Linked DNA regions of Neodiprion lecontei. The protein of the gene in region 2 binds, or shares a complex with, the protein of the main gene of each other region. Links are inferred from orthologs where the notes say so. Each region holds a gene or a part of one and is shown on either strand. Other genes may lie near its edges. The genes, in order: DNA-directed RNA polymerases I, II, and III subunit RPABC4; general transcription factor IIF subunit 1; general transcription and DNA repair factor IIH helicase subunit XPB; general transcription factor IIF subunit 2.

What was found.
Region 1: general transcription factor IIF subunit 1 (region 2) and DNA-directed RNA polymerases I, II, and III subunit RPABC4 share a complex: the UniProt entries of both Homo sapiens proteins name them as parts of the TBP-based Pol II pre-initiation complex. The link is inferred for Neodiprion lecontei from reciprocal best matches to the Homo sapiens genes GTF2F1 and POLR2K.
Region 3: general transcription factor IIF subunit 1 (region 2) and general transcription and DNA repair factor IIH helicase subunit XPB share a complex: the UniProt entries of both Homo sapiens proteins name them as parts of the TBP-based Pol II pre-initiation complex. The link is inferred for Neodiprion lecontei from reciprocal best matches to the Homo sapiens genes GTF2F1 and ERCC3.
Region 4: general transcription factor IIF subunit 1 (region 2) and general transcription factor IIF subunit 2 share a complex: the UniProt entries of both Homo sapiens proteins name them as parts of the TBP-based Pol II pre-initiation complex. The link is inferred for Neodiprion lecontei from reciprocal best matches to the Homo sapiens genes GTF2F1 and GTF2F2.

The regions. Positions count from the first base shown.
Region 1 is NC_060264.1:19,860,996-19,864,384, reverse strand, and holds DNA-directed RNA polymerases I, II, and III subunit RPABC4, read left to right. Parts: upstream 1-1,650; 5' UTR 1,651-1,795; coding exon 1,796-1,856; intron 1,857-2,157; coding exon 2,158-2,250; intron 2,251-2,698; coding exon 2,699-2,721; 3' UTR 2,722-2,887; downstream 2,888-3,389. UniProt on the Homo sapiens protein: DNA-dependent RNA polymerase catalyzes the transcription of DNA into RNA using the four ribonucleoside triphosphates as substrates.
Region 2 is NC_060261.1:26,083,777-26,088,672, forward strand, and holds the start of general transcription factor IIF subunit 1, read right to left. Parts: upstream 3,044-4,896; 5' UTR 2,917-3,043; coding exon 2,893-2,916; intron 2,879-2,892; exon of another isoform or gene 2,776-2,878; coding exon of another isoform or gene 2,773-2,775; intron 2,727-2,772; exon of another isoform or gene 2,609-2,726; intron 1,943-2,608; coding exon 1,896-1,942; intron 1,642-1,895; coding exon 1,270-1,641; intron 775-1,269; coding exon 446-774; intron 1-445. UniProt on the Homo sapiens protein: TFIIF is a general transcription initiation factor that binds to RNA polymerase II and helps to recruit it to the initiation complex in collaboration with TFIIB. It promotes transcription elongation.
Region 3 is NC_060261.1:39,600,636-39,608,570, forward strand, and holds general transcription and DNA repair factor IIH helicase subunit XPB, read left to right. Parts: upstream 1-1,896; 5' UTR 1,897-2,122; coding exon 2,123-2,156; intron 2,157-2,257; coding exon 2,258-2,469; intron 2,470-2,543; coding exon 2,544-2,654; intron 2,655-2,753; coding exon 2,754-2,903; intron 2,904-3,032; coding exon 3,033-3,206; intron 3,207-3,291; coding exon 3,292-3,486; intron 3,487-3,574; coding exon 3,575-3,672; intron 3,673-3,757; coding exon 3,758-3,864; intron 3,865-4,002; coding exon 4,003-4,299; intron 4,300-4,379; coding exon 4,380-4,648; intron 4,649-4,788; coding exon 4,789-4,953; intron 4,954-5,114; coding exon 5,115-5,301; intron 5,302-5,399; coding exon 5,400-5,548; intron 5,549-6,134; coding exon 6,135-6,251; intron 6,252-6,632; coding exon 6,633-6,761; 3' UTR 6,762-7,435; downstream 7,436-7,935. UniProt on the Homo sapiens protein: ATP-dependent 3'-5' DNA helicase/translocase. Binds dsDNA rather than ssDNA, unzipping it in a translocase rather than classical helicase activity. Component of the general transcription and DNA repair factor IIH (TFIIH) core complex.
Region 4 is NC_060262.1:4,432,756-4,438,086, reverse strand, and holds general transcription factor IIF subunit 2, read left to right. Parts: upstream 1-1,781; 5' UTR 1,782-1,959; intron 1,960-2,005; exon of another isoform or gene 2,006-2,064; intron 2,065-2,139; 5' UTR 2,140-2,144; coding exon 2,145-2,293; intron 2,294-2,402; coding exon 2,403-2,554; intron 2,555-2,742; coding exon 2,743-2,832; intron 2,833-2,962; coding exon 2,963-3,087; intron 3,088-3,173; coding exon 3,174-3,317; intron 3,318-3,424; coding exon 3,425-3,580; 3' UTR 3,581-4,226; coding exon of another isoform or gene 4,227-4,284; 3' UTR 4,285-4,454; coding exon of another isoform or gene 4,455-4,605; 3' UTR 4,606-4,675; downstream 4,676-5,331. Other genes in the region: DNA polymerase delta subunit 3, read left to right, coding at 1-1,255; phospholipase A1 VesT1.02, read right to left, coding at 4,227-4,284, 4,455-4,605, 4,676-4,864, 4,962-5,207. UniProt on the Homo sapiens protein: TFIIF is a general transcription initiation factor that binds to RNA polymerase II and helps to recruit it to the initiation complex in collaboration with TFIIB.

The DNA.
Region 1 (3,389 bases), on a different chromosome or scaffold from region 2:
CTCAAGGACAAGGATAACGTACGGTAAACAAACACGCCGGGTCGCCCCTCTTCAATCGACGATCTGCCAGCCGCAGCTTCTGTATCCAATAGTCTTATTCTCTCCACGAGACACAATCGAGTAAATAAACGGCACTGATCGGTCACGGCAATGAAACTACATGAAGAAAAGACACACACACAAGAGTCACGGTACGCGGAGATAAATAGTAACAACAAACACACGTGGGTTTTACAATATTTTGACTTGAATGGATATGTATTTGAGCGAGAAACTTTTGACACGCACCTTATTCATTCACGTTCATCGGATGTAACGAAAACCTGCATCACCACACAACATGAGACACACAAAAACCACTTGATCGGATGCACGATCACGAGTAAATGACCAAAGGAGCGCGAATAATATCCTCTATTTTCACTGCGCGAACGTACCGACTTAACCAATTCTTTGAAGAATAGATAGAAACGATAACAGTCACAGGACCGCGCGACACAACAAAACACCGGGAACTAAACGTAACGCGCACGCCGACCGCTCGACACGCTGCGTGCTGCTGCTGTTACTGGCTGCTGCTCCGTGGGCAGCCGGTCCTGCTCGGAGACTGTGGAGATACTCGACTAGTTGAGTCCTTTCAAAACTGTTTATCCGTTGCCCTACCGAGGGCCGACCGCCGGATCTCAGCCAATCGGGTGCGAGGACGCCGTCTGGCGGTGCAGCTGCTCTCCCGCCGGTTCAGCCGAACCGAATCCCATTGGCGGCGAGATTTGTTTTCTGTTATTGGATTCTTTTTCCTTTTCTGGTGTAACGCGTCTTCTTCTTCTCCTCTCGTTTGCACGCCTACGCTTATATTATCGCTATCGCAGGCTGAGAACAACACCGTGTCCCGCCAACACGCACGCTGTGATGGCACACTTCCTCGCTGCTCCGCGATTCGATCACTACTCTTTCTCTTTCTCTAAACCGCGCGAGATCCTGACAAGGAGGCGGGACGGCAGGGACGCCCGCCAGCGAGAGCCGCGGTATACTAGGCGGGAAAGGCGGGAACGCATCGCACGGTTGCCAACCCTGCAAATTCGACATGTCTGTCTTCGCGGTCAATCGTTCTCCAGAGATTTTCATTACGAATTCATTAAGGTTCGTTTTACCTGACGGAAAATGATAGAAAAATGGAGTACCATCTATATATATTTCGGATTTTTTGTTACTGTTCGATACTAAGTATTTCAATTGTCAAGCTGAATTATATCTTCAACATGATGTCGAGAATACCAAATCACCGAAAAACCTTTGCGAAGGATGCGACTTGACCAATTAATCAAACTGCATCGCCAAACTTTGAGGATAAGTGCTTGAAAAGCTTACTCTAACCTGCTGTCGGTTAGATTGATATCTAGGATAGGCAAATTACCAGATCTATAAAAATATCGAGGATATTGTATGAAAACAGTTCTCAACTACCCTCATTCAATTAATTCATACTTCCATGCTAATGTGGGTATTATTACCCAAAAACATGTTTATTGCAACAACCACTCGATCGGTAAGTGTCGGATGTGTCTTCGCTATTGTCTCACGCCATGCAATGCAATTGTGCGCGCCGATTTTAGCGCTTCTTGTGCATCGTGGATTGTCGGGGAACTAACCAGGTATAATATCGACATTACATTAGGTTAAGTAAGGTTACTTTAACACTTTTAAGCGTTCTAAACACAACGATTTTCGGAGACGAGCAGAAGGATCCGTAAGAAACGCATAAATATTGGCTTAATTATCTTGATTACCTCGTGATATGGACACTAGCAGTAAAGCGGAATCTGCGCCTAAGCAAGCTATGGTTTACATCTGCGGAGGTGAGCGATACTTTGCCTCAAACTTGGATCATCGAGGTTATGTTATGCATAGCTTTGTTTACCGATACGGCTACACGTGGGTCTGAATAAGAGTTTTTTTTTTAAGAACAAAAGTTATTGTAGCATCTTGTTTCAACTTCACAAGTAATCAATACAATCGCAACCTTAAACTTACTTGACACATGATTAAACATCACACAACGATCAAGCATCCTGTCTGTTTGGTTATTTATCAGTTTTCTCTGTTGTATCTTCTCTGGCTTATTCTTCTTTTCATTATTGTTTTACATCTCGTTTTCAGAATGTCACCACGACAACGAGATCCGTCCTAGAGATCCGATACGTTGCCGAGAATGTGGGTACAGGATAATGTACAAGAAACGCACCAAGCGACGTATCCTTTTCTATTGTTGTCTGCCTCACCAATTGTTTAATCAACTTATTGAACTTTGGCCTTCTTCTGTCAGATCAAAAAAAAATAGTTTACTATGAGTCCAATTTGGCATCACTTCGATTGAAAGATCAGCACTGATAGCAGCAGAGTTTTTTGACTTTCTTGGTTTTAAACTTCATCCACGTAAATGTTTTAACGCAACAACCTATAACACTAGGTTGCTTTCCGCTGAAATTCAACGCTATCTTTTCACTGACGAGTTCAGGGACTTTTCACATGTTTTCAAATTATTGTTACGATTAATAAATTCCCATACTACAACATCATTGTTCGATATCTTGCCAGCTGATGATTTCACCACTGACCTTATAAAATCAAAAATAAACTCACTACAAAAATTTGGAAAACACATCTCCTTTACATTCCTTAACACAATAATAATAAACAGTCGTCGTCTTCGATGCTCGATAGATGTGTTGTGACCAGCCACAAAACCCTGTACAAATTCTTAACAATAATGGAATTCTATGAAGATGATCATCGCGCCTCAATTTATTATATGTAATTACACTGCGATGAATTAATATTTGACCATTTTTTCTTGTATGTGAAATAAATGACATATATGTCAAAGAAATATATTTTAGCTTATTTAATACATCAAATTTTCTTACTTCTAAGCAACACAATTGAATACGTTTTTTACTTTGGTTGTAAATGAATTTAAAACTCGTTTGTCTTTTTTTCTTTTTATTTCTTTTAATTTCATTATTTTCATTTTTTTAGGCAATATACTTTCTTCATTTACAATAAATAAATTACACTTTTTTTTCATCTTTTTTTTCCTTTTTTGCATCAATAAAGTATATAAGAGTTCGTTAACAGATTTTTTGTTTAATTTACGCTGAATTACGGAAGAGGTTAGGTACAGAGAAGAAGGTAAAGGTGGAAGAGCAACGGAGCTTGTGAACAATCGGGAGCCTATGCGAATACATGTATAATTTTAATAATTGATAAAAGTTGGATTCTACCTATTTTAACTACGTATTATTTTATACATCTAGCTAATACCTATGTATGTATGTATAATGTTTATAAAATCCTACACTCCGGTCCCTCGATCTGATATCAACAGGCAA
Region 2 (4,896 bases):
CTCCAAATTCAATTGACCATACCAACATCATCTGTAATTGCGTTCAAGCCAGTGAAAGAAAAGATTAATGTTGAAACAGTGTAGTAATTAAAACTCGAAGTCTACTTCTGAATAAAGTACATAAAGTAATCTATTAGCACGATTATGCAAGAGTTATTGCATCTCACCTAAATGAGTAGTTGTCTGAAGAAAAACAAAGTCTTTTATGAGATCTATGAATCAAGTATGTTGGCTGGAGAAGTTGAAATTCATGAGTAATATTGCAATATTCTGCTATTTGAAACTGAATTTACATAATCATCTCATATAACAAGTTGTAGAATTACTTTCACGCCTGCCTGCTCAGGCCCAAAACTTATCACGCAGCTCCTTCCAAAATTTGCAGTTCTCTGTAATTCTTCAGTCAACGTATCAATGAAGAACTATCAAATGTAAGTAAACTAACCCTTAGCTTTTTTTTTCTTTTTTTTATCATCCTCTTCTTCTTCAGAATTCTTTTTCTCCTTGTCTTCGTCAGAACTCGAATCATCATCGTCACTATCCATCCATTCATCCATTTCTGATATTTTTAATTCCTTTTCTTTTTTACCAAGTTTTTTTCCTTTACCACCTTCAGATAATTCTGGATCATCTTCGGCGCCTTCGTCGTCGTTTCGCATTCTCTTTCGCATCATTAATGAAAAGTAATTCATGACTCTATTCCGCCTACTAAACTCTTGCTCAGCTTCTTCAGCACTCAAAGCTTTATATCTTTGTATTGGCTGGAAATTATACCTATAATTTGAATGAACTAATTTTTCTCACGAAATTGAACAAAAATTGAGATGTAACAGTAAAAATTTTTTTCACCTAGTTTAGTGCTTCTGCAACTAATACCATATGCACAATTACCAAGTTTTTAACGTCTATCATGGTAAACGTAATATTTATAATCGAGAATATTTATTCACTAGTTACATATAGTAAGGACACCGAAATAATGTTGATGGTATCAGAGACAGCAAATAGCTGATAATTTGTGTCGTTAACAACCATTATTAATTTCCTTAGAAATAATCTTCATAGAAGAAAAATACCTCTTGCATTGATAATGTTATTGAGACACTCTCTTGTAACGATATTGCTAAACACTAGCTGCTAGCTTGAGTGAAAATGCTTTTGTTTAGTCTCTAAGGTCTAAATTTTTTATACAGTAGGTTGAAAATTTCACTGAAAAACTAAGAATAAGCTATCAATTTTTTTACGAATTTATGTACTTTGTGAACTTACCATTCATGCAAAGGAAATGCTTCAATGGCACCATCGGGTGCATGAGTGAAAACATAGTATGCTGCATTCTCACTGACTCCACCTTCTCGAATTCCTTTGAACTTCTTCCCTGTTTTACCTCCTGATTTAAGAATCCAAGGCTGATCTTCTGGTTTGTATTTTCTACTTGTTATTCCAAACTTTTTTCGCCTTGCTTCTTCTCTTGCGTCGCGACCAAACTCGGATCCTGCTCCAAACTTTGGCATCTCCTCATCCATTCCTTTATACTCTTTCATGTTATTTTCACGCTCCATCTTGACTTGCGACCATTTTGAAAAGTCAACATTGAGTGTTGCATTAAATCGCATGACATTGTGCTTTTTTTTACTGTTCCTGTGGCAAAAAGGATCGAAATACTGATTAATACAAATCTGTAATAGGATCTTTCATGATGGTATGGGGTACATACTTCTAATGTAGCAAAATGTAAGGTACAAAATTGTGTAACACAAAGTTCACAATATTGGAACATTAAGTATTCGTTTATTCTAAATTTGATAATGTAAAATCAGTCACAGACTGAAGTCAAAATTAGAGTATAATTAATGTCACTCAGGCAAACTTAGTAAAGGAAACAATAGACTTACTTTGGAACTCTGATGCTATATTCTTGTACCGAAGGTACTGCGCCAGGCTGGACACGAAGGATCAAAGAGTATTAGTAAAATGATCAAGTACTGCACATATTACAAAATTAAAATTCATAAATCCAACATTTTTTAAATTTATGGTATATGTACTGATCCTTGGATTGATTCAAACACATTCCAGGCCACCAAGGTAGACTATTATTACTTGTTTAACGTGCAAAACAAACTCTAATGCACATTTTTTCACCTACATACATGCAAGAACCGCGATGCAGGCTATAAGACTGTGCCGCTTCATAGAGACAAAATACGGCTCATGAACGCAAAGAAAATAAACAAGACGGGGTAAATAAATAAGGCAGAATTAATAGGCAAGGAGTTGCAATGCGACAATGAATAGAATACAAAATAAAACAGGAACTTATTCCTCCATGGGAATACATCCCTGAGGTGATATTACGGAAAGTAATTTTAAAGAATTAATATATTTCTAAAATCAAATGTATCAGAAGGGAGATGTCGGGATGACTACAGCTGCGAAGCCAGACACTGGGAAAAATGAACGCACGGCTTGTAATAACTGTCATGAAAAATAACTCGAATCCATTTCAACAGTGGACTGAAATGTTTCAGAATTAATCTAAGGGTCTGTATATGGCAATCAGTACAAAACCAAACATATGAAGTATATGATTACCATGACTACATACCTATAATTATAATTGTGGAGTAACTTACGAAATTCTAAATATTATTATACAATTACGAAATTCTGTTGTCGAATTACTTCTAGCGCGAACAACATTCCATTAGCCTTACATTTCAGTATAACTGTACCAAATATCGCTAAATATATTGCAGTGGTTATGCATACCATATATTATCTTACAATATTAGTACATTGGGTACTGAAATTCATACGATAGTAATTCTAAGAAAAACTTATTGTGATTTCAAATTAATGTTGCGTAAAGATTGTAATGGTAATGAATACCTTCGTCACAGCTGTTGAACTCATTGTTGATTAGTAAGATCGTGAAATAAGTGATTACCAGACCGCATAGTCAAGTCATTCCACTACAGAGCGTACAGAAGGAGGGATATCCTGGAGTTACAAGAAGTGAGCCGATTTTGGCTGCAATTAGTGGTGGCGCTGTGAAACATAAGTTGCCCAACTGACTATAATTTAAGATACAATGAGTGTAACTGTGTAACTAAACATTCAATTTCATCACTCAACTTGGTATCAATCAGTGCTGCGTCGGTTATTTTATGTACCCTTATTTGCATCCAGACTTTGACCATGTTTTGAAAATTATATGCTCTAAGCCTTACTACGACGTCATGGCACTCCACGACGATTTCCAGATGCTAGACACTAGATTCAAACGCGCAAGTATGTACAGCTAGACGCACAGTCAATAATTCTGACTTCTGGGTGATCATGTACCAATTAAGCATCAAAATGCAATGGATCGTGGACATTCAATTGCGCTTTTCGGATTAAACCGGAAAAAGGAAATATTAAGGGTTAAGGTGCCGTTGTCTTCTCTTGTGAATATACATTTCGTGACGTCATAAGCACTTACCACGCTTTTGGAAGTTCAGCGTTAAGCTAAGCTCATTAATTTCATTGGCCTGTTCCGTTAGACCCGACCAATAATGATAATTTCTATGTTATTGTAAACTTGCGGACAATGAATCTGAGACAGCTAATTTTTGACACCAAAAAGTTATGCTGGCAACACAGAAAAACCTACAACGCCATAGTGGGCCGAGCGCGAAACAAACTGAATCTCAATGAACATAACTTAACCCATGACCGTCGAATCTAACCCTAGAATACCGCGGGGATAATGATTTATTGGATTGACACCATAGACTTATAAAAGATAGACTGAGCGCTCTTATGAGTCGCTTGAAGCAAAAATTTAAAGGACAGAAATATACCGGGAGTACTCCTTTCTCTCTCTGACGATATTTGTGGCGGGGATCGAGGCGGTAGAGGAGAATGAAGCGAAATTATGCGCCTATATCTATAGCTGTTCCACTTCCACTACGCCCTTGTCTCCCGGTATGAAACCGATTGAAAAGAGAGAGTAGTACTCCCGACATATCTCTATCCTTTATATGAAGGCTTCAGTACCTCATATAGGAGCGCTCAGTCTATCTTTATAAGTCTATGACAGCCCCCTGACACACGCTGCTAAAAGTGGTTCGCAAAATGTCCCTTGATTCTGCGGCCAATTTCCACCACTAGTGACGCTAGTAGTTACCTGACGAGCTTGCGCGCGGTCAGCGAGGGCAGCGAGCGTTTGAGAAGTCTACTAGCGCCACGTAGAGGACCTAAAAAACGGGGACAAGACGCGTACAATTTTTTAGTATACGAACAGTGGTGAGTGTGACGTCGGAACAGTACCTAGTGGAAATCTCCAGATGTTAGACACCGGAAACATTCACACGCAGCTACAGCTAGGCTCACATCAGTAGTTTGGGTCACCAATTACCGATTAAGTATTGAAATACACCCGACAACGGGCATTCTGTCGCTCTAGTCGAACGAACCGAAGAGGGAGAAATTGTTGGATAAAAGATTTAATTTGGCTTACCTTTTTGAGAGTATTCTGGATGCGATGACTTGTAGATTGGTGAGAGGTTTTAGCGGAATAACTGACTTTAATATTTGGATACTTTGACTAACTTGGTTTATTTTATAAGTTTGATATTTAGAAGTCACAAACGCAGAGTTACACAGTGTAAGATCTTAAACTTAGTATGACAAAATGGAGTTGAAGCTCGCTGAACTTTTGGGCAGAGTAACGTTGTATGAAAGTTTTAATGCAAAAGGCTAAAGGATTTTACCGCGAGACTGTACCGGAACTAGATCACGAATCTGGAGGTAGAAACCGAGAGAGCGATCGAGTGATCGGTCGCCCTTTTTATAGGGGTCGATCGTTGCGCAGAACGATCCCCCTCTCTAGTTTTTTGGTCACCTTTG
Region 3 (7,935 bases), about 14 Mb from region 2:
CCGATAAGATTAGAGTTTAGAAATAATCACTCCACATACCGGTTCAAATATTGCGGTTTACCGAACTCTAAAACCTGCCGTATCTGAATACTTATCAACCTTAAGATCAATCCTTCGACACTTTCGTTGTAAAAAATTTACACGTCCCGAAAGGAGTTCCACAAATACTTTTGTAAATTTGACACAAATTGTGGATGAAAAATCCTGCGGCGAATAGCCGTAGATATCATGCTGTATTTTTGTGAAGTGACAAGTCGTCGAAGAGCACGCTTGTTGTATTGCGAAAATAGGAGATCGTCGTCACATAACTAGACTGGTTCGTCCGAAACAAACACGCGGTAAGTGAGGTGAAGGACAGAAAGTACGCTGGGTTCTACGATGACGCGTTGAGCCCATCAGGCACTTGCCGGTCCTTGATCCGAATGAAACGCGGGACAAAAATACGTCCGTAGACCTTTGTTATTCAGAGGTGTAAGCAGGTAATAAGACACCGGCGGACGGCCATGTTTGTTATAAAATTTTCATCGATTGAATCTTAAATTGGTAAGTAAGGACAGACCGGTGCGACGATGAGGGACGATTGGAGGATGGATGGATGAAGAAAGGTTAGATCTTGAGGGTAGTAGAAGTTGTAGAAGGAATGAAATAAAGATCTAACGCCCACAGACACGCATCGTGACATCGAGCGAAGCTAGCTCGAGGCTGCCACTCGTAGATATGCGTGGATCGCGAAGAGGTTCGACGGTGTTATGAGGCTTATACTCACAATTAACCACCCAGCAAAGTACAGATATCCTGACTTCTGCGGCTCGCCAATTCCTATGCGAAAAGCGAATCCCGCTTTTTGTGACCGATCCAAGTCTCACAAAAAGCTTGATCCGTTTGACGACAGAAAAATGGTTTATGGACTACCGGAGAATCCTTCCTTGTTTGCGGCTCTGCAGCAATATGCTCTCTGCTACATCAGACCTGCGCTGTGAACTTTTGCGCCGCCGGCATGCGCGCTTCGCCCAGGCACCGTATGATTGTGTTCTACGATTATAAGATTGTTACTGTCACGATATTCGCACTGAAGCAAGCTGCGGATGTCATTCAATTCTAAAACAGGTGAACTACGGTATTTTATTTTCTTCTGTCATTGCCGGTTGCCAATAATCATGCGTAAAATTATTCGCGCGAATAACGTAATTCGTGCGTTCTTAGCGATGAGCGCAATCTATGCGCCGTACTCGATGCGCAAGCCTTAAACTTGCCTGGGTGCCAAGTTTTGGTTACCAAAACCGTTGATTGATTACAGGAGAGCCGAATAAACAGTGTATCTAGATCGTTTCAGCAAAAACTCGACCACGTGGATAGTCCGTGGTGTAAACAGGCCGACTTTAATGCATGTCCACACGGACGCAACAGGATTACGGCAGTCCATGTACGATCAACAAATAACGCGCGATTTTTTCCTTTCAATTAGTAAATATTTTGATATTCGAGGTATACTTTAAAACCGACTTGAACAACAATCCTGTTCTCTTGGCGAATATAACACCGAATTTTGACTTACACTTTCGATAATCGTGCTGTAACACCTGGTTCTCATCATTCATTGATCGCGTATCGGAGAGAATTTTAAACCGAAGTATAAATATGTAATTATAATTATCTGGCTTTTAATTTTACTTTCTTAGTAAGATCAAGTTTCATTAGTTGTCAATTGTAACGTGTTTAGTGATCATTCAATCGCTCGTCCCTTATAATAATGCATATTACGACTATTGCAATTCGCTTTTTCAAGTTACAACCACGGTTACAACATGCTGCGCAGATCGTTTTTTTTCTCGGTTTTGCTCAGAAAACTGACAGCTCTGATCGAGATAGCTGACCTAACTTAACATGAAACGCACTTCAAGTCATACTTCAGCCAAACTTCAGGTTGCCTGTGAGGGCTGTGAGGTTATGTCAAACCAGATACAGTGCTGACCGTTGCCAGTCCGCAATGTGAGAGTTGTGTAGTGGTTATAAGTTTATTTACCGGGATTTACATCGACTGATTTTTCAGTGTCAAGGTGTGACGGCGTTGAATCAGTGTACAAATCATTTTGCCTGTGACTAATTTTTAAGCGGGGCTATCATGGGCCCGCCAAAGCGATTCAAAAAAGATAATGGTACATAACCCTTGAACACTTTTTCACCGTTCGTTTAGAGATACACTTCGAATTTTTTAATTTCTCATACTCATACGGTTCTCAATTTATTTATCATATAGACAAGGGCAAATGGAAAAAACGTAAGGAAGATCACGATGAATATTTCGACGACGACCACGGTGATGGTGGTGATACTGAAGGCATTCCTGATGCGGCTAAAAATGATATTGAAAAACAAGACGAAGGGGCTGTTGAAGACGAATTTGGAGCTAAAGACTATCGCTCGCAAATGATCTTGAAGCCAGACAACTCGTCGAGGCCACTATGGGTGGTACGTTGTTATTAGTCAATTAAACTGATCTCTGCAAATAAAAGAAGAATAATAAGAATATCCCAATTTTACAGGCTCCAAATGGACACATATTCTTGGAATCATTTTCACCGGTATACAAACATGCTCACGATTTTTTAATTGCCATTTCCGAGCCCGTTTGTCGACCAGAGCATATTCACGAGGTGAATATCAAATTTGATTCTTTATTTTATTCATGACTACCAAACATTTCGTCAAACCAAGCTCGCTGCAATTGAATAATTACGTACCCTTCCTTACAGTACAAACTGACTGCTTATTCCTTATATGCAGCCGTGAGTGTGGGCCTCCAAACCCACGATATTATCGAATATCTAAAACGGTTGAGCAAAACTAGCATCCCAGATGGAATCATTGAATTCATACAACTGTGCACGTTATCTTATGGAAAGGTAAGCATAAGTGTAGAAAATACTAAGAACTTTGATCAACTTCAACATTTTTTTTCTTATCTTTTATAATTTTGTTTTCCTTTGTTTGTACATCATACTGTTACAGACTATTTTCGTGAAACTTTACAGGTGAAATTGGTCTTGAAACACAACAAATACTTTGTGGAATCTCCATTTCCAGAAGTGTTGCAGAAACTGCTTAAAGATCCAGTCATTCAAGAATGCAGGTTGAGAAGGAACTTGGATGAGACTGACAAAGATGGTTTCATTACCAATGTTCAAGATAAAACAAAAGCTCCTCAGGTAGAATTCACTCCTGTTACATAATGCTTCTCTAGTCTATTATAATGTGCACCCAATTGCGAATATTATTATTTTTAATCCACAGTTTGGTACAAAAACATCAGCTACTGCTACCCCAACAACAGCACCAGCTCCGGCTGAAGGAAATGGAGAGCAACCGTCAGCAGAACCAGTTGCAGTGCCTGAAGATATCTCAACATTTTATGATAAAATTGATAAAGAGGATGAAGATGAGGAGGAAGAAGCACAGCTGAAAACTGTTAGCTTTGAAGTCAACCAGGTGAAAATTCTACCTTTGCATTGAATAAACAGCTGGTTATTTAATTTCACATTTGTTTCTATCAATGATCAATGATTGTTATCTGCAGGAAAAAATTGAAGTCATTCAAAAAAGATGTATCGAATTGGAGCATCCTTTACTTGCAGAATATGATTTCAGAAACGATACAGTTAATCCTGACATAAAGTATGTACTTTCAATAATGTCAGAATTTGGTCTTGTGACATGGTATCATTTATCCGTTTATCCAAATGATTTTGCTGTTTTTCAGTTTTGACCTGAAACCATCAGCCGTGCTGCGACCATATCAAGAAAAGAGCTTGAGAAAGATGTTTGGTAACGGACGAGCCAGGTCGGGTGTTATCGTACTACCTTGTGGTACATAAAAATTTCTTTAAACATCATATTTACATTGTGTTTTTACGATCTACAACATGCACTTTATAAAATAAAGTATTCCCTAATCTTGCTAACAATTCGACTTTAATATTCGTCTTAATCGACTTTAAAATTCAGGTGCTGGTAAGAGTTTAGTTGGCGTAACGGCTTGCTGTACTGTTCGGAAACGCGCATTGGTGCTTTGTAATTCAGGAGTATCGGTTGAGCAATGGAAACAGCAGTTTAAAATGTGGTCGACGGCCGACGATTCCATGATTTGTCGATTTACAAGCGAAGCTAAGGATAAGCCAATGGGTTGTGGTATTCTGGTAACAACTTACTCGATGATAACACATACGCAAAAACGGTCGTGGGAAGCTGAACAGACCATGAAATGGTTGCAAGAACAAGAATGGGGTATTATGGTTTTAGATGGTAAGTTTTATATCTTTTGCCCATAAATTTGACTTAAATGACTGATACAACTGATTTACATACATATTTCAACCATGCAGAAGTACATACAATACCTGCGAAAATGTTTCGTCGAGTTTTGACCATTGTTCAATCCCACTGCAAACTCGGACTAACCGCAACCTTGTTGAGAGAGGATGATAAAATTGCAGATCTGAATTTTTTAATTGGTCCAAAACTCTATGAAGCTAATTGGCTTGAGCTTCAGAAAAGAGGATTTATTGCCAGAGTACAGTGTGCTGAGGTCTGGTGTCCCATGACTCCGGAGTTTTATAGAGAATACCTGAGTTGTAAAACAAGCAAGAAACTGGTATGTGAATAACTCCACAAAAGGTCCATTTAACCAGGATGTAAAAATTTTTTTACTCGTCTTTTTGTCGTTTATTTTTTTGCTATCTTTTCAAATGATTGATTATCGTATTTAACTGTAATACTCGTTGTTTCTTTCAGTTGCTTTACGTTATGAATCCGAGCAAATTTCGTTGCTGTCAGTATTTGATTCGATATCATGAAAGGAGGGGTGATAAGACAATTGTTTTCTCCGACAATGTTTTCGCACTGAAACATTATGCAATCAAGATGAATAAACCCTATATTTACGGTCCTACCAGTCAGGTAGAGTTACTTGATAATGCTGCCGCAATATTTACGTGGGACTTATGCAATAACAGAGAATGTTATATTTTATCTTGAGAACAGAAAAGAAAGAACCTGATTTCCCAAAATATTTGTCGTCAATTTCATTTGTAATCGGTGATGTGTTGTGTGTTTTACAGAGTGAGCGTATACAAATCCTCCAAAACTTCAAATTCAACACAAAAGTGAATACAATATTTGTGAGCAAAGTAGCAGACACATCATTCGACTTGCCAGAAGCAAATGTTTTGATACAAATATCTTCTCACGGAGGTTCTAGGAGACAAGAAGCTCAAAGACTGGGTAGAATTTTACGAGCTAAAAAAGGTAGACACACTGCACCAGTTGCTTCTGAATACAAATTTCGTCAGCATTAAATTAACAATTACGTAATCTACCTTAAACTTCATAATTTTCTGTTTCAGGCGCAATTGCTGAAGAGTACAATGCTTTCTTTTACACCTTGGTATCACAGGATACAATGGAAATGAACTATTCAAGAAAGAGGCAAAGGTTTCTTGTCAACCAAGGCTATGCTTATAAAGTCATCACCAAACTCGCTGGAATGGATGAGGTAGATTACGTTCCTTTATGATTTCTTTATCCTTAAAGTGTAGCATCGGCAACCAATGTACATTCGTTTGCTGTTACAAAAAATAGAATAATTTACTTCCCTGTACACCAAAGTTATTATGCACAGCTTTCGCTTTTGTTCTGTAAGCATTCATAGTTACATTAATACCGCACATAAAATAGGTGGCATGCAAAATAGCTGGTGTACTAGATATATTCTTGTGTGGGCCGTCATGCTATAATTAGGATTGTACATCCTCTTCTTTAAATGGAGGAAATCATTTTAAATGAAATTAACATCTTACGTAATACTATTTAACTTCTTAAAATAACTTGTCAGTGCCCGTCACACTAATAGTATGATAAAGAATGAATCATTCATTGAATTCTTGTATTGTTGCAAAGATTGAAACATGTAAGCAGTATAATATTTTTTTGCTGTACCGTATTTCTATAATCTATAATTCCGCGAGTTCTATAAACACTTTAAATCACAACTGATACTAGAGTGCACGCTGGTATTGTATGAAATGCGTGTAATTTTCTTACGCAATCGATGGAAATAATTCTATGCGGTCTTCTTGTAGGAACCAGACTTAATGTATAAAACACGCGAGGAACAAGGTCAACTATTACAACAGGTATTGTCAGCAAGTGACATGGATGCGGATGAGGAAAGGATTCCGGGAGAAGGGCCAAGACCTGTGAGTATAAAATAGTATAGTTATAATTATTACTTCAGTGATTGGTAAGCAGAGCCGAAAATTTTATTCACTAGTAAAAAATGGAAAATTGTCGAATGACATTCCGCATGATTGTTACGATTTAACATCGACATTTTTTAAAGAAATTTTAATTACGCCTAGTACATTAAATTGTAAAATGTAATCAATCACAATGTAGATCAGGTGCTAAAGCGCTCAATACACTGTTGAGCATATTTCCAAAACACTCGATAATTATGCAGTTGTTTATTGATATGGTGGTCTACTATTTACTGCACGTCAATAATGAATCTCAGCTATAAAAAATAATCAATAAATATATATCGCAACACTTTCAATCGACGCTATTTTTCATTACAGGCAATGAGGAGGCCTGGAAATATGGCATCCATGTCAGGTGCTGACGACACAGTATATTACGAATACAAAAAGTCCGCCGCATCATCGACAGCCAACAAGCATCCGTTATTTAAAAAATTCCGAACCTAAATTTGTATTTATATTTCAGATATGTTTACGCAAATTATACAGTGGGGTCTTCCACCAATTATTTCGTACTCGTTGAGCTTTTCTCGGTCACACACCCCGTTGTTATAAGTTAAATCTCTTCAAAGGTGAATGTAAATGCAAAAATTCGTCGCGCATATAATATCAGTTGGATATCGCAGATTCGACATCGATAGATTTCTCCTTTGCCTGCATGGATAAAATCTTAGAGCAAACTGCTGTACCGATTTTAAAGAAAGAATATGGACTTTTAATAGCACATCAACTCCTAATCCAGTTCAAGTGATCGTTGTTACATTATTTTTAATCTGATCAAATTATTGATTCAATACAAATCTTTTGACAAGCAGCTATGTCAAAATAAATATTACTTGAAACGTTGAAAGGCGAACATTTGGAACTATATTATCTGTGATAAATACTTTGTTATCTAATTTTTTATACATGCATTCATGTCTTAGGTTATTTCGATGCAGCTTACACAAATTAACATTGATTCATTATTATCTTTCGTAATTGTATCCTTCAATACAATCTGATTTAACTGCGCCTTGTCACGAGATTAAACGTGACGAGTTTTTTTGTAAGCAATTTTATCTTAGATACGTGTCGTTCCTGTGTAATATAACGAGCCAGTAATAAAGTAGAATTAGCCATGATTCGTAACCTAAGCTGATTCACCTAAGTAATATATCGCATTGATAAGATAAGACGACGCTAATTTTACGGTCGGAGATAAAATTCTTATTCAGCATGAATAAAAAACGCTCGGTTGATTACTCATACGTCTTATCCAGAAATATTACGAACTCCGAACCAAACGAACTAATTTCTACGAAAATACAACGCAGTTCAAGATTATTCTGAAGTCAAAATCAATTCATTGATAAAAAAAATATCACTGACACACCATTGTCAGGAATATGTTAAGCAATTGGTTATTATTGTCAATCCACGAACACGAATACAATGTTTCGAATATCGGACGTGCTTTGTTCTGCATTTTCAAAAACTCTCGAAACAAAAGTCTGTAAATGCGTATGAAATGAAGTAGTACGAGTTTGACCGGCACGTTTCGAGCGCCTGGGAGTATTAAATAATCTAACGATGCTACAATCGGTAATTAAGGGGGTGCCGTGGTCGATTTCGACGTTGA
Region 4 (5,331 bases), on a different chromosome or scaffold from region 2:
TGCGAAGGAGAAATTTGAAAAAATAATATCCGAGCATATTTACAGCTTGCAAAAAACTCTCCCTGAGATAGAGCTACTCGCCATTACTGACAAAGGCGATTCTCAATTGAGCGCTGTCCACTCTTCTCAGTCTGTTCTCAGGTCTGATCATGAGATGGAAGTTCTTCGTTGGGGTAGCGCCTTGTTAGCGAATAAACAGATGAAAAACAATACTCAGATTACAGCTCCGAAAGTTCGGGCAAATGCGAATACCGAGTCGAAGCTTACTGATCAGGCCAAGAATGTCAAGGAGTCCGGTGCTAAATCGACCACAAATAAAACAGCAGCGGCTAATTCGAGTGCAAAAACACAGAAAACTGCCTTCAACAATTTTTTTGCTAAGGCCATAGATAAGCAAAGCAAGGAGAAGACATCTGTGAAAGGTGTGAAGAGTAAACCTGTTGCGTCAAGCAGTAGTTTGACAACTACTTCACCCCATAAGAATAACTGGTTCGAGGAGAAGAAGAAACCTATTAGTTCGGACAACAAGGAGGCAAAAGAAAATCCGGAGAATATTAGCGATTCAAAAAAGCCTAAACTTAATGAAGACAAAGAAAAATCTCCGAAAACTAATTTACCGAAAAAGAATGCATGGTTTGAAGCAAAGAAAAAGCCTCCAAGTACCAGCGACAAGGAAGCAAAAGTACAGGTGGAGAGTTGCAGCGATTCGAAAAAGGCCAACGTAGAAAAGTTTGAAGAAAAATCACCACAGACTGAAAAAGTTAGCAAACAAGAATCGGCGGTGAAAAATCTCAGCTCTGGGAAAACTGGCGATAAAAAAAAAGTAGCATCTTCTTCACGAGGAAAAAAACGCAAGACTTCTTCAAAGGGCGAGAATACTAATAAGAAACGAAAACGTATAGTTGTGATATCTAGTGACGAATCAAGTGATGACAGCGAGACTAGGGATGATATTGAGGAACCTGATAGTTCTGAAGAACCACCGCAAGTTGTTGAAAGAGTTAAAAGTTCTCCTTCGCCACCTCTGGTCAAGTGTGAAGGCGGGAGGCGCAAAGTTCGGAAATTGGTCGATAAAACGTTTGTCGATGAAGATGGGTATTTTGTCACTCAAAAAGAATACGTTTACGAAAGTTGTTCAGATAAGGAAGAGGAAATGCCGGTAGAGGCTGCAAAACCTTCTACCGCTGATGTTGCAGCAAAGACTGCTAACAAGCGGAAGCAAGTATCGCTGCTTAATTTCTTCAAGAAGTCGTAGTTAACTAATACGTGGAAAATGTAACTGTAATGATGAATTAAAATATTCGTTGAATATATGCAAGTCATAGACGTGAACTATACTGTACATTACTGAATTTCAGCGGGAAAATATGAAATTACTCGCAATAAAGATAGAATATTTTTGATTCGTATTAAGGAAAGGAATAAGGAATTAGCGATGCTTTCTTTACAATCAAATTATGGAAAGTTATAAATTTTACGTCTATTATATTTGTTTCTGTCGTAATCTTTTTTTTCCTGTTACCTGATCAAACCCCTTTTTTTTTTTCTTTCTTCTTTTTCACGAATCCAGAACGTAGAAGTTGTGCAATCACAAGAACTGTACATACCGAAGAACAAATCTGTTATTTTTGTTAATAAATGCGCATGATATGTTTAGGTAGGGGTTTACAATAATACCGCGATATTTGAATACGTGTAAAAGCCCGGCGTTGACTCTTCTGGTAAGCCGTTCTCACTGCTGCCAAATATAATAACTAAATTTCCCCAGAATTTCGTAAAAGGTAGTCCTTTCAATTTTTACAACAGACTATCAGAAGCAAGTGTTTCTGTTGTATGTACAATTTATTTTACCTCTATTTAAACAGTTATTTACAGAAGATAAGTATAACGGAGTATTACCCTTCATTTCGCCTCGTTAAATACTGAAAGTCTATAATTATTGAGGCCATTTGCAACAAGGTAAGCAGTGCCAATATTGAAATCTGGCCACTTTAATAGTCAGTTTGGTTAGGTTTGAGATAGTTAATGTTTGTATCCAATATGCAATAAGTAATTAGGTTAAAGGTGACAGAAACTAGCGTTCGACCCATAATTGCCAGGATGAATGCGAGAATGGAAACTGAAATATTTTATTTTCAGGTATCATGTCTGCACCGCCTCCTCACACAGACCGAGAATTAGATTTGAGTAATGCAGGACGAGGAGTATGGTTGGTTAAGGTTCCTAAATATATTGCGAACAAGTGGGAAAAGGCTTCCGGAGATATAGAAGTTGGCAAGCTGAAAATCACAAAGTTTGTTAAAAATGTTAAATTAACCGAAGATCGTTTACGATTGTAGAAATGACAATCATTCCATCGCTCCACACCCTCCCCTTGATCATGAGGGTTGTTTTATCCGCAGAAATCCAGGGGCCAAAGCAGAAGTTTCTCTAAGACTTTCGGAAGCTGTTTTAGCTCTGAAGGAACGAGAGGAAGAGGAAATTCCAAAGGCACACCGGCTGGATGTAACTACTGTCACTCGTCAAATGCTGGGTGTATTTTCTCATGTCACACGTGAGTGTGAACAATTTTTGTGGCTGTATGCTTTTCTTTCAAAATCACTAAAACCATTAGCTAGTCTATTATTACTTTGATCCTAGAATTGCTCAAAGTACGAATTAATAAATTAGGACAATGCAGCATGCATTCTCTGGCTTGAATCTATGCATCTACTAAATTGTCTATTCCAATGATTTTTACAGCTGCTAGCACTTCGGATGCTATTGTTCCAGAGACTGAAAAACTTTACATGGAGGGTAGAATAGTGCAGAAACTTGAATGCCGCCCTTACGGTAAGTATGGGTGATTCAGAATCGTTGAACCTTGACTTTAGTGGCAAATTTTCAGAAAAGTTCAATAGATTGAAATATTCTTCCAATCTTCGACTGCGTTGTTAATTTAAATTCGAAATTACATTTTTAGCTGACAACTGCTACATGAAGCTTAAGTTGGAAAGCATAAAACGAGCATCGGTGCCTCAGAGGCAAGTTCAACAATTGGATAGGGTTGTACAGAATTTCAAACCTGTATCTGATCACAAACACAACGTAAGTTATGAATGTAATTGTTGAAGAATTTTACCGTGTTTTCTGTTTGTCTTTATTTGGAGATTTTATCTGCATTATTTTTACAGATCGAATATGCCGAAAAGAAGAAGGCTGAAGGCAAGAAGATGAGAGATGACAAAGACGCGGTATTAGAGATGCTATTTGCAGCATTTGAGAAACATCAGTACTACAATATTCGAGACCTTGCCAAAATCACCAGGCAGCCTATCGTAAGTTATGCCACAATCTTATAAAATTTTTTTGCAGACATATACGATTTTTCTGAGAATTGGGGAATTACACTTTTGCAATGATTCATGAAAAAATTGATTTACAGGTTTACTTGAAAGAAATTTTGAATGAAGTGTGCAATTACAACTTGAAGAACCCGCACAGAAATATGTGGGAATTGAAACCTGAGTATCGTCATTACAAGGATGATCAGAAGCCAGCGGCAACTGCCACAAAAGTTGATGACTCAGACGATGATTAGTACTTTGTTTTATATACTTTTTTAGAATGTTTGGACGATTTGCTGCCTGTGATTTGCTAGTTCAGATCTTGATTTACTGAGTTCACTGATTACAATCGATCAACTCATAGATCGATGCAATTTCTTAAATGGAAATTTATTTGATTCGTAAAGGCGTTCCAGGAATAGCTTCGGTGAATTTAAGCAGAGTTTGTGAGATAGTAAAGTGATAAATCGCGTCCCCATGGAATAATTCTTCTATATCGACGCCAGGCAAAGAGAGAAAATAAAAGACTTTCTCTTGTCATAGGATCCAAATAATAGGGAAATTTGCGGAAATCCGCATTGGATGATTTGTAAATAGTGATATATTGTATTTATTTTTACATCAATCGTTTAGATGCGAAGAGAGAAGTTGAAGAAGCAAAGACTTTATCTCAGATGTAGATTTGTTCATATTGTTACTCGACATAAGTTTCATACGGAAATATTAAAGAGAATCTACAAATATAATGGTGCGTAGGAGTAAAAAATATATCAAAGCATAATGAAACGGTAATGCACTTTAAAAAAAATTACATTACAGTATATTTAAACATATATATATAAGATACAATTACACCAGCCATCATGCTCTGATTTATAGAAATCAAATCAAGGCTTCTGCTCATCCCAAAGCATAGGGAGACTGTCTGGCTGTCTCAAGAGTAAAGCTGCCTCTGGCACTGCAAAAATAATGTTAATCGCTCATTAGTTCCGAAGCTGTAATGGCAAAGCTCCAAAGTTTTTTTCTCTTTATTGTAACTGGTTTGATACTAATAATTCTCGGTGGACATACACAAGTATCTCCGCAGCTGTTTTCTGTACTAAACAAAGTTTTTCTACTCGTACTTACAATTTGTTAAAAACTCTACCACCCATGTACACTTCGTTGTGTCGGTCAAGTGCTTCCAGGTACATTGAACGTGTTCCTGTGGCACGGAAACCGGTCGGGTTCCTGATAGATTCTGCGAAGAAGTAATAGGCGCGGGAATGGGCGCAGCTCCCTGTAAAGGATAATGTGTTAGAGTGCTGCGATATGCGCAATGACAAACTCTCAACTTGTGCGAAACTTACCGACAAGGTCCAGTCCGCATCCAGGCTGACTGCTACCGCCGTTGGGGTAAAAATCGGTATCACCAATGGCATCCATGATGCCGAGAAGTCCTCCATTTGTGTGGATTATCTGAACATGGTCAGCGTCAGTTTGGTGAATTCGGGATCCAGCTCCAGCAGAGTTAAAAAGAGGAAGCGCTGGGTCGAGACCTGTGAAAATATTCGTGCAATGATGAAAAACGATTCCTTGTGTAAAGAAGACCGGATTTTCGAACGAGTTAAAGAATCTCATCTGCCTTTTACTCACCTATGACAGCGTCGATTGTGCCCTCAGCGTTGCGGGCAGCAATTCCAGACACGTGAGCACCTAGAGAGTGTCCAACGAGTTTCGTCGATGCTACGTTGAGGCCGGCGTTGGCGCTGAGGAAGTTGATCATCAGACTAACTCTGGCGGCAACACCTCTGACGCTTGATGAAGCACTCACGTAAAGAGCACCAGCAATGGAACTCCAATCGATCACAATCACGTTGTAGTCGCCTTCAGCTAGGTAGGCTGAGGATAAAAACGAGGAGATATGAACACAAATATGAACACAGGACTCAACGATGTGAAGTCAAATTACGTCTTAGAAAAAACAATTTTCCTGTAATTCTTACAACCGGTGTGAACTTAGCAT